Linked DNA regions of Saccharomyces cerevisiae S288C. Changing the gene in region 1 together with any one later gene gives a genetic interaction. Each region holds a gene or a part of one and is shown on either strand. Other genes may lie near its edges.

What was found. A genetic interaction does not mean that the proteins touch.
Region 2: of CWH43 (region 1) and VPS74, changing one enhances a phenotype caused by changing the other (phenotypic enhancement), as found in Saccharomyces cerevisiae (2 studies listed by BioGRID, with this or other methods).
Region 3: mutations in CWH43 (region 1) and SEC63 together harm fitness more than expected from each alone (negative genetic interaction), as found in Saccharomyces cerevisiae (2 studies listed by BioGRID).

The regions. Positions count from the first base shown.
Region 1 is NC_001135.5:144,273-149,666, reverse strand, and holds CWH43 (Cwh43p), read left to right. Parts: upstream 1-2,032; coding exon 2,033-4,894; downstream 4,895-5,394. Other genes in the region: SRD1 (Srd1p), read left to right, coding at 764-1,429; RNA-binding ribosome assembly factor RBP95, read right to left, coding at 5,161-5,394.
Region 2 is NC_001136.10:1,220,395-1,223,981, reverse strand, and holds VPS74 (Vps74p), read left to right. Parts: upstream 1-1,832; coding exon 1,833-2,870; downstream 2,871-3,587. Other genes in the region: PHO92 (mRNA-binding phosphate metabolism regulator), read left to right, coding at 1-508; FRQ1 (frequenin), read right to left, coding at 651-1,223; CTS2 (putative chitinase), read right to left, coding at 3,034-3,587.
Region 3 is NC_001147.6:804,315-809,030, reverse strand, and holds SEC63 (protein-transporting protein SEC63), read left to right. Parts: upstream 1-2,007; coding exon 2,008-3,999; downstream 4,000-4,716. Other genes in the region: TRE2 (putative zinc metalloprotease), read left to right, coding at 1-777; OSW1 (Osw1p), read right to left, coding at 924-1,760; peptide alpha-N-acetyltransferase subunit NAT5, read right to left, coding at 4,124-4,654. UniProt on the Saccharomyces cerevisiae protein: Acts as a component of the Sec62/63 complex which is involved in SRP-independent post-translational translocation across the endoplasmic reticulum (ER) and functions together with the Sec61 complex and KAR2 in a channel-forming translocon complex.

The sequences.
Region 1 (5,394 bases):
TTTATTATTCTTTTTCATTTTATACGTTTCATTATCCTATTACATTATCAATATTTGCATTTCAGCTTCCATAACAGTTGATGACTGTTTCTCAATCTTTACGTCATCTTTTTACACCGCATGTGATAATATACTAGTAACACGAATACTACTAAAAGATGACATTTTAGAGCTTCAATCCAACAACTTCTCAGTGATGTGGCTTTCGACATTTCATATTTTTTTGTTCGAGTCCTTTTCAATAAGTGATAGTTGATGCTTATTCCAAATATTCAATATAAGCATTTATATCCTTACTACCATATCAACATGTAAATATTGATAGCCACTTATTCCAACAGAATCGGATAAGCGCTATTTTTTTTTATTAAAGCCTTCCCCTCTCTCATCGCCAAGAATTCTATTGTTTCTCCTAGACCCTGCTTTCGCGGCGCGGTATTCCTGTGCCAGCGGTAAGGGTTCAGTCATTGTATTATGTAGAAGTATCGAATGTGACACAAACATACGCCACTAATATGAGAATGCAGGCGCGATAGCTTTGTAATGTTTTTCAGTTGTATCACAGTAAACTAGAGCGGATCCCTAAATAAGTATCATCAAGCTCGATACACAAAACTTTGAAATGAACTTCTTCGACTTTTAGACGCTTGTTCAAACTTTTATCAATGATGTTGTCAATTAAATAGACTTATATTGCTGTTTCATTGTTATCGCTTTGTTAAGAGGTTGCTAGGTAAATAACCAGACATTTACTATTGCTAGTATGCGATATAATAATTATGACAACTCTGGAAGTTCCTTCTTAACTAGAGTAGTTAAAAAGTCAGATATGGAGAAAACGTTATTATTAAATAGAGAAATTGATGACTGGAAGTCAAACGATAAAAAGAAGGCATATAAGGAACGCGGAAGAGTTTATGCAAGTTGCTCATTTATTGAAGTATCCTTTTCTCAAATAAGGGCTGTTGATGTTGAAAAAAAAATTGAGAATGCCGAACAACTAAGAGATCTTACAAGAAATATTGTTAAGAACAAAACCAGCTCTTTGAACGAAATTACACCCTCAAAGAATCGTGTAACTAGTGCATGCAATTCCGAGAGACGTACGACTAGCCAAGAAGCAAACAATCTTGAAGGCTACCATAGTTGTGCACAAGGAACTAGTCGGTCTGCCAGTATTACGAAGAAATACAGCAAAAAGACTACTAGTCGTCCTAAAAGAGAAAAGAGACAAACAATCCTCCCAAATGGTGAGATAAAGGAATGCTCTAAATGTAAAGACACTTGGACAATTCAATGGCGTAGTGGACCCGACCAAAACAGGGAACTTTGTAGTCCCTGTGGACTCGCCTATGGAAAAAGACTGAAGAAGGAGAATGAAAAAAAAAGGCAAGCAGCAGATAAAAGGATAGATCGAAACAATCCATAGTATCTATTTAATTCTTTCACCGCATAGATGATATTTTTCCACTAGGATATTCCACCTTTTTTTTTTCTAATATTGGCACTTCAGTTATAATGTATTTTCTTCGTCTTTGTTCTTATATTGTACTATTATTCATAATATTTATTACGTTTTATATGGAGTTTCTTTTTGATTAATGGCTTCCTGCTAGTATTACTATATGACTATAGCAACAAACTTTGCAGTTAGTTTTGTTGAGATTGTATGCTCAATAAGTTTAAGTGAACTTCTACAAGTTGTACCTCATTTCTCGGTTTTGAAATTAAGTATTCTTGGTTCAGGTTTGCAGTTCTTTTTAATGTTGTTTTTTACAATCAAAGTATGCTCATCGGTATATACAGAAGTGCCAGTTTGGGATTTTTGAGTCCCTGAATATGCGCTTCATGCTTTTTTATTATGTAAAGTTAGTTCGGGTAAGAAGTAGTAACCAAAAAAATCGCAACAATAGATTCTCATTCGCTTTTTGACTTGGTAACTTATAATTTCTCCACAGTATTTGCACCCTTTTAATGTCCGATTTCTCGAGGAATAAGTAACCAGGAATACAGAAGGTATCCACCGCCAGTTATGCTGATCATCAATGGGAAGATCATCCCTATAGCTCATACTATTTGTGCATTCTCCGCCTTCTTTGCAGCTTTGGTCACTGGTTATTCATTACATTTTCATAAAATTGTAACCAATGCACATTATACGTATCCAGATGAGTGGTTTCCTAGTGTATCAGCCACTATCGGGGACCGCTATCCGGAACGTTCTATTTTCCAAATCTTAATAGCTCTAACTGCTTTTCCAAGATTTTTACTGCTACTAGGTCACTACTACTTGAACCAATCTAAGGTATGCTTCCTTGTCGGTGTACTCCGGACAGTCTCTTGCGGTGGTTGGGTATACATTACAAGTACAGATGACCACGATATTCATGATATATTTATGATCACATACATTGTTTTAACGTTACCATGGGATATAATGATTACCCGCTATTCTAGTCCTTTAACTTCGAAGAACAAAGGGTTGACTGCTACAATTTTTTTTGGAACATTGTTCCCGATGATTTACTGGTACATTCAGCACTCCGTCCAACAGAGAGCTGGGGCATATTCTATATATGCTTATTTCGAATGGTCTCTGATTCTTTTAGATATTGCATTTGATGCATTTGCTTACGCTGATTTCAAAAAGATAGATATTGTTCTCGCTTTTAATGAGAAACCCGGTAATACCAGTTTTTTCCAAATTAGAGACTCTAGTCCCATAAATTATGGAGAAGAAAAAAGTTCAGAATTGCAGAAAAGTGGTGAAAAGAAGGTTGAAAAGGAAAAACCCGTTGCTAGAAGCGCAACTGGTTCATATTTCAGGTTTGACTCTTTTTTTTACTTACTAACAAATATTTTTAACGGTTTTCTTTTCTGGTCGAACGTTACGTCCCTGTTATGTAGTATTTGGCATTTCCCGCTATGGTATATGGGAATCTCAGGTTATGAAGCTGCAATATTGGGTTATTTGGGACCCATTTTCTTATATCTGCCGTTCGTTTCTGAAGCCTTCACGCAATATGGTGTACTTTTAGGAGGTATTATTGCCATTGGTGCCTATATTGTTCAGATGCCAGAATTAAGGTTGATTTCTGTAGCTGTGGGAACTTCCATTACCGTTGCAACGTTTGTACAAAATCTAAGATATATCACAAATGCGGAGACTAGTTTCTCTTTTGCTCTAACTTGGCTGTTAGGTCTTGTTGCATCTGTGATCTTGAAAATGGGGTTCTATACCAACAATCCAACTTGGGTCATTTTAGATGAACGTAATGGTGGGTATAATAAGACAGCTCTCGTGCTTACTGTTTTATTCGGCATGCTGTCGCCTTATGTTAATTCAATTAATTTCGAAGGGAAAAGGAATGCTCAAGCAAAATCTGCTTCGTTGATTGGCAAATTATTTTTGGCTGTTGGTTTTGGCTCGTTGTTATTCGGAATTCATCAGTTATTGACGGATTCTTCTACTACTATTTATTGGGCATGGGAAGGTTACAATGAATCACACGGTCCCTTGCCATGGCCTTGGGGCGCCTTAACTTGTACGGTCATGTTATTTGCTTCTTTGAGTTCTGTGAAGTTTATGGGCAAGCCATTAGTTCCATGTTTGTTGCTTCTCATATCCACTGCTGTACTTTCAGCTAGAAGCATTACACAATGGCCTAAATATATTTTCGGTGGTTTATTGTACGCTATCGCTATGCTTTGGTTAGTTCCTTCGTATTTTTCTGCATTAGGCCAAGTTCAAAACATATGGGTTTATGTCCTATCATTCTCCGTTTATATTATCTTTGTCCTTGCCCATGTTTGGGTCGTTGCATACGCATTTGTTCCAATGGGCTGGGTACTGAGGGAGAAGATTGAGACGGTTCTTGCCTTTTCTTCCACATTTATCATTATTGGTGCTTTAACATGCAAAAACCTTAACATTCAACTGGTGACTATGGGCAAAAAATTCTTCATTTATGTTTTCTTCTTTGCCGTGGCCCTGCTATCACTAACAGCTAGGTTCGTGTATGATATTAGACCTACAGGAATTCCTCAGCCTTATCATCCAGATTCTCAGTTGATTACAGCTGGTATTTGGACTATCCACTTTGGTCTCGATAATGATATGTGGGCATCTGAAGACAGAATGATCAACCTTATTAAAGATATGGAACTAGATGTGGTAGGTCTACTAGAAACAGATACACAAAGAATTACCATGGGGAACAGGGATCTAACTAGCAAACTAGCTCATGATTTGAATATGTATGCAGATTTCGGACCAGGTCCAAATAAACATACCTGGGGCTGTGTTCTTCTTTCTAAATTCCCTATCGTAAATTCTACGCATCATTTATTGCCCTCTCCAGTTGGGGAACTTGCGCCAGCCATTCATGCCACACTTCAAACGTACAATGACACTCTCGTTGACGTCTTTGTATTCCATAGTGGACAAGAAGAGGATGAAGAGGATAGAAGACTGCAAAGTAACTACATGGCTAAGCTCATGGGCAATACGACTCGCCCAGCTATTTTATTAAGTTACTTAGTTGTTGATCCAGGTGAAGGCAACTACAATACGTACGTTAGTGAAACATCCGGAATGCACGACATTGATCCTTCTGACGATGATAGATGGTGTGAGTATATCTTGTATAGGGGCTTGAGAAGAACAGGATATGCTAGAGTTGCAAGAGGAACGATAACCGATACGGAGCTACAAGTTGGTAAGTTCCAAGTTTTGAGTGAGCAAGCGTTAGTAGAGCACTCGGATTCTATGTATGAATACGGTCATATGAGTGAACCGGAATATGAGGACATGAAATTTCCAGATAAGTTTTTAGGCGAAGGTGAGAGGGGTCACTTCTACCATGTTTTTGATGAGCCACGTTATTACTTATAAGAGGCCGTAAGGTGGTTTTATAAATCAGTGTAATCACATTGTGTGTACTGAAAATCTTGATAACTTAAGGTAAGTTATGTATCCACCTGATTTTTTTGACCTCGAATTTTAAAAATTTATGTGATTTCTTTATGTATGTTACTTAGACGATCTTGTTATAGTTTTGTAAGAAATTATACTTCCTGAAACGATTTATCCCGCTACTTTTTGAGCGTATTTCACAGTAAAATATATACTACAACTGAACAACGTTGTTGAACTCTATGTTAAACATCAACGAAGAAATTCTTAAGTTCTATCTGCTCCGAGTCATCATTCTTCCAAATTTCTAGTAATTTCAGACTTCTTTGAACAAGCTCTTTATTCGGCATTTGTACTTCCTCTTGCTCGTCTTGTACCTCTTTTTGCTTCCCTTGTTCGGCATTACCGTCTTTTTCACCTTCTTCTTTTTCTTCACCATTAATTGGTTCGCTAGCCTTATCCTCTGCAATTAACGCTTT
Region 2 (3,587 bases), on another chromosome or scaffold:
AAGAAAAAGTGCTGCAATTATTCCCCCTTGGTTAAATATTCCAGAAAACTCAAGATTTTTTGTAATAAAGTCCTCGTCTTTGAAGCATGTCAAAAGGTCGTTTTACAACGGAATTTGGTCGTCTACTCATTTCGGCAACAAAAGGCTATCTGAGGCATATAAAAAGCTTAATTCGGGAGCCAAAGTGTTTTTATTTTTTTCAATCAACACATCAGGAAGATTCTGTGGCGTTGCAGAAATGGTATCGGATTTGAAAATGGATTTGGACACCAGTATATGGGAAGATGAACAAAAATATGGCAAAGCCTTTAAAGTAAGATGGGTGATCGTGCGTGATATAAATAACAGATCGTTAAAAAGGTTTTTGATACCATCCAATGAAATGAAACCGATAACACATTCCAGAGATACTCAAGAAATTCCATATTCGATTGGAATTTCAATAATTAATCTATTTAAAACTCAAGATTCTGATATTTTCTCCTTCTTGGATGAGACGTATGAATAGACCTTATCCCTCATTTATCAACATTTTATTCTCATTTATTATTAGTATTATTATTATTTTTAATATTATTTTTATTTAAAATTATCCTAAAATTACTTCTACTGTTATAACATCCAATCCATAAGAAGCAAAAACAAAGTTTTCATATTAAGCCATCGTAAAGGTTTAAGGCACCAATAATAGAGGGATCGACTTTAGAACCTTCTCTGAATTCGTCCAGCGTAATGTAACCATCTTCGTTCTTATCCATCAACTTGAAGATCTTCTTTACCCTCATTTCGGGCGTTGCCTCATCCTCATTAAGTGTAACCATAGACCCCATCATTTTATAAACACTCGCCACAATGGTTAGCATTTCATCAAATGTAATATATCCATCATGGTTCAAATCATAAAGTTCGAAAGCCCAGCTCAGTTTTTCCTCCAAAGTTCCTCTGGACGTTGTACTCAAAACTGTGATAAACTCTTCAAAATGTATGAATCCATTGTTGTCTTTATCAAAAACTGTAAAAAGGTGATTAGCAAAATCTTCAGGAGAACCAAATGGAAAAAACTGTTTGTATATCTTAACAAAATCTTCCCTAGCTAGTTGGCCACTAGGGCAATCCCTCAAAAATCCTTTATGCCATTGCTGGATTTCTCTTCTATCAAAATAGGTGGATTGTTTCAAACATGTCAGGTCATCTTTGGAAAGCTTTGACGTCTTGGCTCCCATTTTTTTTTTGAATCAAAAACAGTTTTCAAGCACAAAATAACTCTCGCCGATTCTTAAACTAGCAACAATTATAAAACAGGAGGTAATATCCCTAGTTCATCAGTTCAATCGTTGACAAATTAAACATTATTTCAGTACTCTATGGTATAATAATAAAAAATACACCGAAGAGTTACCCTTTTTTCGTTTTTAATGATCAATTCTGGCTCATTTTTTTACTTCCTGAGCAGTCAACTACTACTGAAAAAAAGAGGCTAATGGGTACGCATTTACCTAAAAACAATTAGATCCCTGCCTTGGATCGTAATCTTGTTTATCTATCCTTTTTGGACATTGACATCTATTTGTGTCGCAGTTAATTGCTTTCTGGGTACGTTGACTTTTTCAGTTCTATATCGGCCCGTTGCTTACTCTGTTCAACTCACTTATTCTTTTGTTTCGGTTTGGGCTGCTGCATTTATAGATTAAAAATAAATTTCAAATTTCCACGCTAACAAATAGAGCTAAATTAGCAGTTTCATTGTTGGCTATATTTTCATTACAACTTTTGATCTGATAACGTAAAAGAATTCAAACAAAAACTATCTAAAAAAATACAAAGCAAAAATCATGTCTACTTTACAACGTCGTAGAGTCAATAGGGCGGATTCTGGAGATACTTCCTCCATTCATTCTTCTGCTAACAATACCAAAGGAGACAAAATCGCAAATATTGCTGTTGACGGGGATGATGACAATGGAACAAACAAAAAGATTGCATATGACCCAGAAGAATCGAAATTGAGAGACAACATCAATATCCCTACGTTAACGTTGATGGAAGAAGTCTTATTGATGGGCTTAAGAGATAGAGAAGGATATTTGTCGTTTTGGAATGATAGTATTTCATATGCTTTGCGTGGTTGTATAATTATAGAATTAGCGTTAAGAGGTAAAATCAGAATCTTAGATGATTCCGCCAGGAAAAGGTTCGATCTTTCCGAAAGGTTGATTGAAGTTATTGACAGTTCCAAAACTGGGGAAGTTTTACTGGATGAAACTTTGCAATTGATGAAAAACGACGAACCTTTGTCAATTTCTAACTGGATTGATCTTTTAAGTGGTGAAACATGGAACCTTTTAAAGATCAACTATCAATTGAAACAAGTAAGGGAAAGATTGGCAAAAGGTTTGGTCGATAAAGGTGTATTGAGAACAGAAATGAAAAATTTCTTTTTGTTTGACATGGCGACACACCCCATTGCAGACGCCAGCTGCAAAGAAGCCATTAAGCGCAGAGTACTTTCTGTACTCGTATCGAGGAACATGGAATTAAGTTACAATGAATATTTTCCGGAGACAACATCTTTCAAAATCATTAGAACTTTAGCTTTAATATGTGGATCATATGGGGCAAACGTATTGGAGAATGTCCTGACTACGTTGGAATATGAGAAGAGAGATAAGGCAATTAGTAGAGCTGAAGAAATAATGGCACAATTTTCGCAATACCCATTTGATTTAGAAAAGGAAACTGAGTTAGGTGTCTCCGTTAATTTAAACAAGGAAGTTAAAGAAGAGATAGAAAACAATCCTGGTCATGATTTACAATTGGAAGTTATTGCTGGTGTATTTGAAGTCTTTTCAAGAATGGATATGCTATTATGAAAATAACAACAAAAATCCTCTCTTTGAAACATAAGGAAAAGTCAAGCTTTTTTTTATAAGCCTCTAACATTAATAAACGAAATTTGTATATATGTATATACATATACGGAGTGGATAATAAATAGACCAAACTTTTTGTTATTATATACGCCCACATTCGTATTCATTGCTTTCTTGAATCCAAATGCTTTAAATATGGAGATAAAAATCCGCCATCGCCATATTTATTCAAGTAATATTTTTTAACTCTCACATCTTGAAATATTGATGGTTTTGATGACACATTAAAGTGCAAGCCTTCATTAAATGCGTTTATCAACGACCTTGACTCATTTGCATAAGCTTCACCACATGACTCCCACCAAAAGCCTCCGCCTAAATTGTTATGTGTCACATATTCAGCCTTAGTTTTGACTGATTTAGTGTTATCATAACTGATAAATATTGAATTTTTTTCATCAAAGCAATATGCTGAAACATATTTTGGATCGTATTGTTCTATTGTACCAATCTTTGGTAAATTTTTGTAAGGCCAGATGCCCTCCTTGCCATCAGCTTTATCTATTTCTTTAGTGGGCTTGCCCACTCCTTTGAAAATTTTGTTAATTAATACAGTATTTTGATTGAATGGTTCGAATTTGTTATCTTTGATATGGAAACTTCTTCCGTAGGCGGCCATTCCCAGTACTAATTTTCTAGAATTGACGCCAAATCTAT
Region 3 (4,716 bases), on another chromosome or scaffold:
TTTTTCAATAGAAACGCGCATGGAAACTTTGATATATCTGTGGATAATGTACAGCACTATGGTGACTGGACTCCATTTCTGGCAAATGGAATTCCTGTATCTGTAATATCTTCTGATTCTACGAGAAACCGTGACACCCCAACTGAAACATCTGAGGATAAATTTGAACGTGTTGAGAAGATTCTGGAAGACGAACAGAACCAACAATCTGTCAAGGATTTGCTAGTATATCTTTTACATATTAGTATGGAATTGATTGATGACCCGCTACTTCATTTTGACATAATAAGCTATGTTGAAGATATCGATGAAAGATTGCAAAGGTTAGAGCAAGCATACCCTGAAAAACTAAACTTCACATCAATAATCAAAGGTTTGTTATTTTGGAAGAAAATCGGTAGCGAATGGGCGTCATGGACTCAAGGTTGGGAGAACATAGTATGGTCGCATGGGGATGGTATAGAGCCCTCCTTACTTTCAATTAATAGGTGGACATGGAATAAAAAATTGACTAATATTGGTAGAAGAACATGCTCTCCGGCGGGTCTACCTAATAGATCATTTTATAAGAACGTTTTGTTCGGACCAACATTGATACAGGAGGATAAATCTAAAAATGGTGGAAATGTAGATTTCTGGACATTTCCAGGAGTGATGGATGCGATTTACGATGATGACTGGAAGAGGGCTCAAGAACAAATTGACCTTATTGGCAAAGTACTCCATCAGTCTGCTGCATTGTTTGTCGAAGAGACTAATGACATCGGGTATAAATAAATTGAACTGAAAGAATACATATTGTAAGTATAAGGAAGTATGTTAATAAAATTTTTTCTTTAATTATGTAATACATGGCATGCAAGCATTTCTTCTTTTTGGGATGCTTTTCCTCTTAGTATCCTATGTTTGTATATATCTTTTTGTTAAATGACACGAGAGAAGGAGACAATAGGATAATTTTGAAATTTCTGTATCACAATCGTATCTAGTTTCTTCTCTACACCTTTGTTTTGACGCGATGTTTCCTCTTCAAAAAGCTTCCCAAGCAACTTAGATTTTCCAATCTCCTGATTATTTCGTTTTTCTTTAGAAGATTTTTTAGAATGCCTGTGCAAAGAGTGATAATCTTTAACTCTCAGGGAATGGTCGTCACAAAATCTGATATATACCGAAGAGACTTCTTCTTCTACATCCTCTTCAAGAACACTAGGCCTAGTCTGCATCTTATTACTCCTACCCCCTAATTTGTCACTTCTTATAGTATTTTTATCGTGAAATATTATTTTAACATCAGCATGGTTTGCTGTGACTTTCTTGATCTTTCTAACGGTTTCTGCGCACTGTTGGTGTTCAACTTTGTGGATGCTTCCGTCTTTTCTCTTTAAATTATTGCCAAAAATTTCATTGTGATAGAACCTTAGGGCATATTTTCTTTTGCTTAATTTTAAACGAGACAAATTGTTCCTTTGCAGTACATATACCCTTGGTGATTCTTGGCAACCCTTGGGAAACCTTGCAATCAGTAGTGGTTTCTTTTTGGAACTTCCTGGACATAGTCCAGACGGTTCATTTATCATGTCCTCAATGTGTATTTCGGAGAGGGGGCTCAAGTTCCAGCGAGTATTATATTGGTGAATGTGAAGTTTGTGGACATGCCACCTCCTCTTTAATTTCCGGCCACTGAACAGTTGACACAGTCGAAAATATAGGTAAAAAAAATGACCAGATTTGGACTTTCTCGGTGAAGGTGGTGCTCTCATGCTTCTTTTCTATTTTGAGTTATTAACGTCTTAGCTTTATAATGTCACAATCTGACTTCATTACTGACACAATCGCTCTTATAACGCGAATTGGTCACTCGTTACGGAAAGGCGTTTTCTGAAAAATTTGTCTTGAACACGTCGAAGATCACTGAACGAATAAAAGATGCGACTGGAACAATAGTCAGTTATAATTGACCAAAGAAGGCCTTCGCAACAAAATAAATATACTGCATATTACAGCACAATGCCTACAAATTACGAGTATGATGAGGCTAGTGAGACGTGGCCGTCCTTCATTTTAACGGGGCTCTTGATGGTCGTCGGGCCTATGACACTGCTTCAAATATACCAAATTTTTTTTGGGGCCAATGCTGAAGATGGGAATTCAGGGAAGAGTAAGGAGTTTAATGAGGAAGTTTTCAAGAACTTGAATGAAGAATACACCAGTGATGAAATCAAACAATTTAGAAGGAAGTTTGATAAAAATAGTAATAAGAAGTCCAAAATATGGAGCAGGAGAAATATTATAATTATTGTGGGTTGGATCTTAGTTGCAATTCTTCTGCAAAGGATTAATAGTAATGACGCGATTAAAGACGCTGCTACAAAATTATTTGATCCTTATGAAATCCTTGGTATCTCTACTAGTGCTTCCGATAGAGACATCAAATCTGCTTATAGAAAATTATCTGTTAAATTTCATCCAGATAAATTAGCAAAGGGCCTAACACCTGATGAGAAAAGTGTGATGGAAGAAACTTATGTTCAGATTACGAAGGCTTACGAATCCCTTACTGACGAATTGGTTAGGCAAAACTATTTGAAATACGGTCATCCAGATGGCCCACAATCTACTTCACATGGTATCGCTCTACCAAGATTTTTGGTAGATGGAAGTGCATCTCCATTATTAGTGGTTTGTTATGTTGCGCTACTAGGTTTAATCTTGCCATATTTTGTTAGTAGATGGTGGGCAAGAACACAATCGTATACTAAGAAGGGAATACATAATGTGACGGCTTCTAATTTTGTTAGTAACTTAGTCAATTACAAGCCATCTGAGATTGTCACCACAGATTTGATCTTACACTGGTTATCATTTGCTCATGAATTTAAACAATTCTTCCCGGATTTGCAACCAACGGATTTTGAAAAACTTTTGCAAGATCATATTAACCGCAGAGATAGTGGTAAACTTAACAATGCGAAATTTAGAATAGTGGCCAAATGTCACTCTTTGTTACACGGTTTATTGGATATTGCTTGTGGATTCAGAAATTTAGATATTGCATTGGGTGCAATCAATACTTTCAAGTGTATTGTTCAGGCTGTACCATTAACACCAAACTGTCAAATCCTTCAATTGCCGAACGTAGATAAAGAGCACTTTATTACCAAAACCGGAGATATTCATACATTAGGTAAATTGTTTACTTTAGAAGATGCCAAGATTGGTGAGGTTCTTGGAATAAAGGATCAAGCAAAGTTAAACGAAACTTTGAGAGTTGCATCGCATATTCCAAATCTAAAGATCATCAAGGCAGACTTCCTTGTCCCAGGTGAGAACCAAGTAACACCATCATCTACCCCATACATTTCTTTGAAAGTACTGGTTCGTTCTGCTAAACAGCCATTGATACCAACTAGCTTAATTCCTGAAGAAAATTTAACAGAACCTCAAGATTTTGAATCTCAAAGAGATCCATTTGCTATGATGAGTAAACAGCCACTCGTCCCATATTCCTTTGCACCATTTTTCCCTACAAAGAGACGTGGGAGTTGGTGCTGTCTGGTAAGTTCTCAAAAAGATGGTAAAATACTTCAAACGCCAATTATCATTGAAAAGCTATCTTACAAGAACTTGAACGATGACAAAGATTTCTTTGATAAGAGGATAAAAATGGATTTAACCAAACACGAAAAATTCGATATAAATGATTGGGAAATCGGGACCATAAAAATTCCATTAGGTCAGCCTGCACCTGAAACTGTTGGTGATTTCTTTTTTAGAGTAATCGTTAAATCCACAGATTATTTCACTACAGATTTGGATATTACCATGAATATGAAAGTTCGTGATTCTCCTGCAGTGGAACAAGTAGAGGTGTATTCTGAGGAGGATGATGAGTACTCTACTGATGACGACGAAACCGAAAGTGATGATGAAAGTGATGCTAGCGATTATACTGATATCGATACGGATACAGAAGCTGAAGATGATGAATCACCAGAATAGATATAAGTGATTAGTATAGTTTTTCATTTTAGCTCTTAGACGTATATATTTCATCTTTATAAAAATAGATACATGTGTATACAAAGCAAAACCAAAAAAAAAAAAAAAATTTTTCAGCCATCTGTTAAGAAATGTGTTTTTTCAATAAGATAGCATCTTGTTCGTCGCCATTTACACCTTTTATGAAATTGTTGACAGTTTCGCCCACTTGTTCGAAGCCATGAGCTATAAACCATTGCTTTGTAAGATCATCCACTGCTGGTAAATAGACAAACACGTTATGTTGATGACATTCTGAGCATTTGTCTTCTGCAAACTTCAGTAATTTTGAACCGATGGATTTGTGCCTATAATTAGGCAACACGCCCAAAAATTCGATTTGAATGCCCTTGAGAGATAGTTCGTTTTGTTTTTTAGGAACTAATTTAGCAACCAAACCACCCACTGGTATTTCACTGTAATAAGCCATCTGTGTGAAATGTACATCCTTCTTCGAAGATGGCTTTTTATTTTTTGCAACTAAGCTATCCTCAGCGAATAATGCACTGAAGAAGGCATCTTGATATAAGTTTGGTACTGTCACATGAGCTAGTTTGGTTAGCATGCCCAAATTGTTAGCGTAAACATTGTCTAATGTGCATATATCACGGCCCATATTTCGCACTACTCCCTTCAATTGTCTTTGCCAATTTGTTTGTTACGGATTAATTTGTGAAA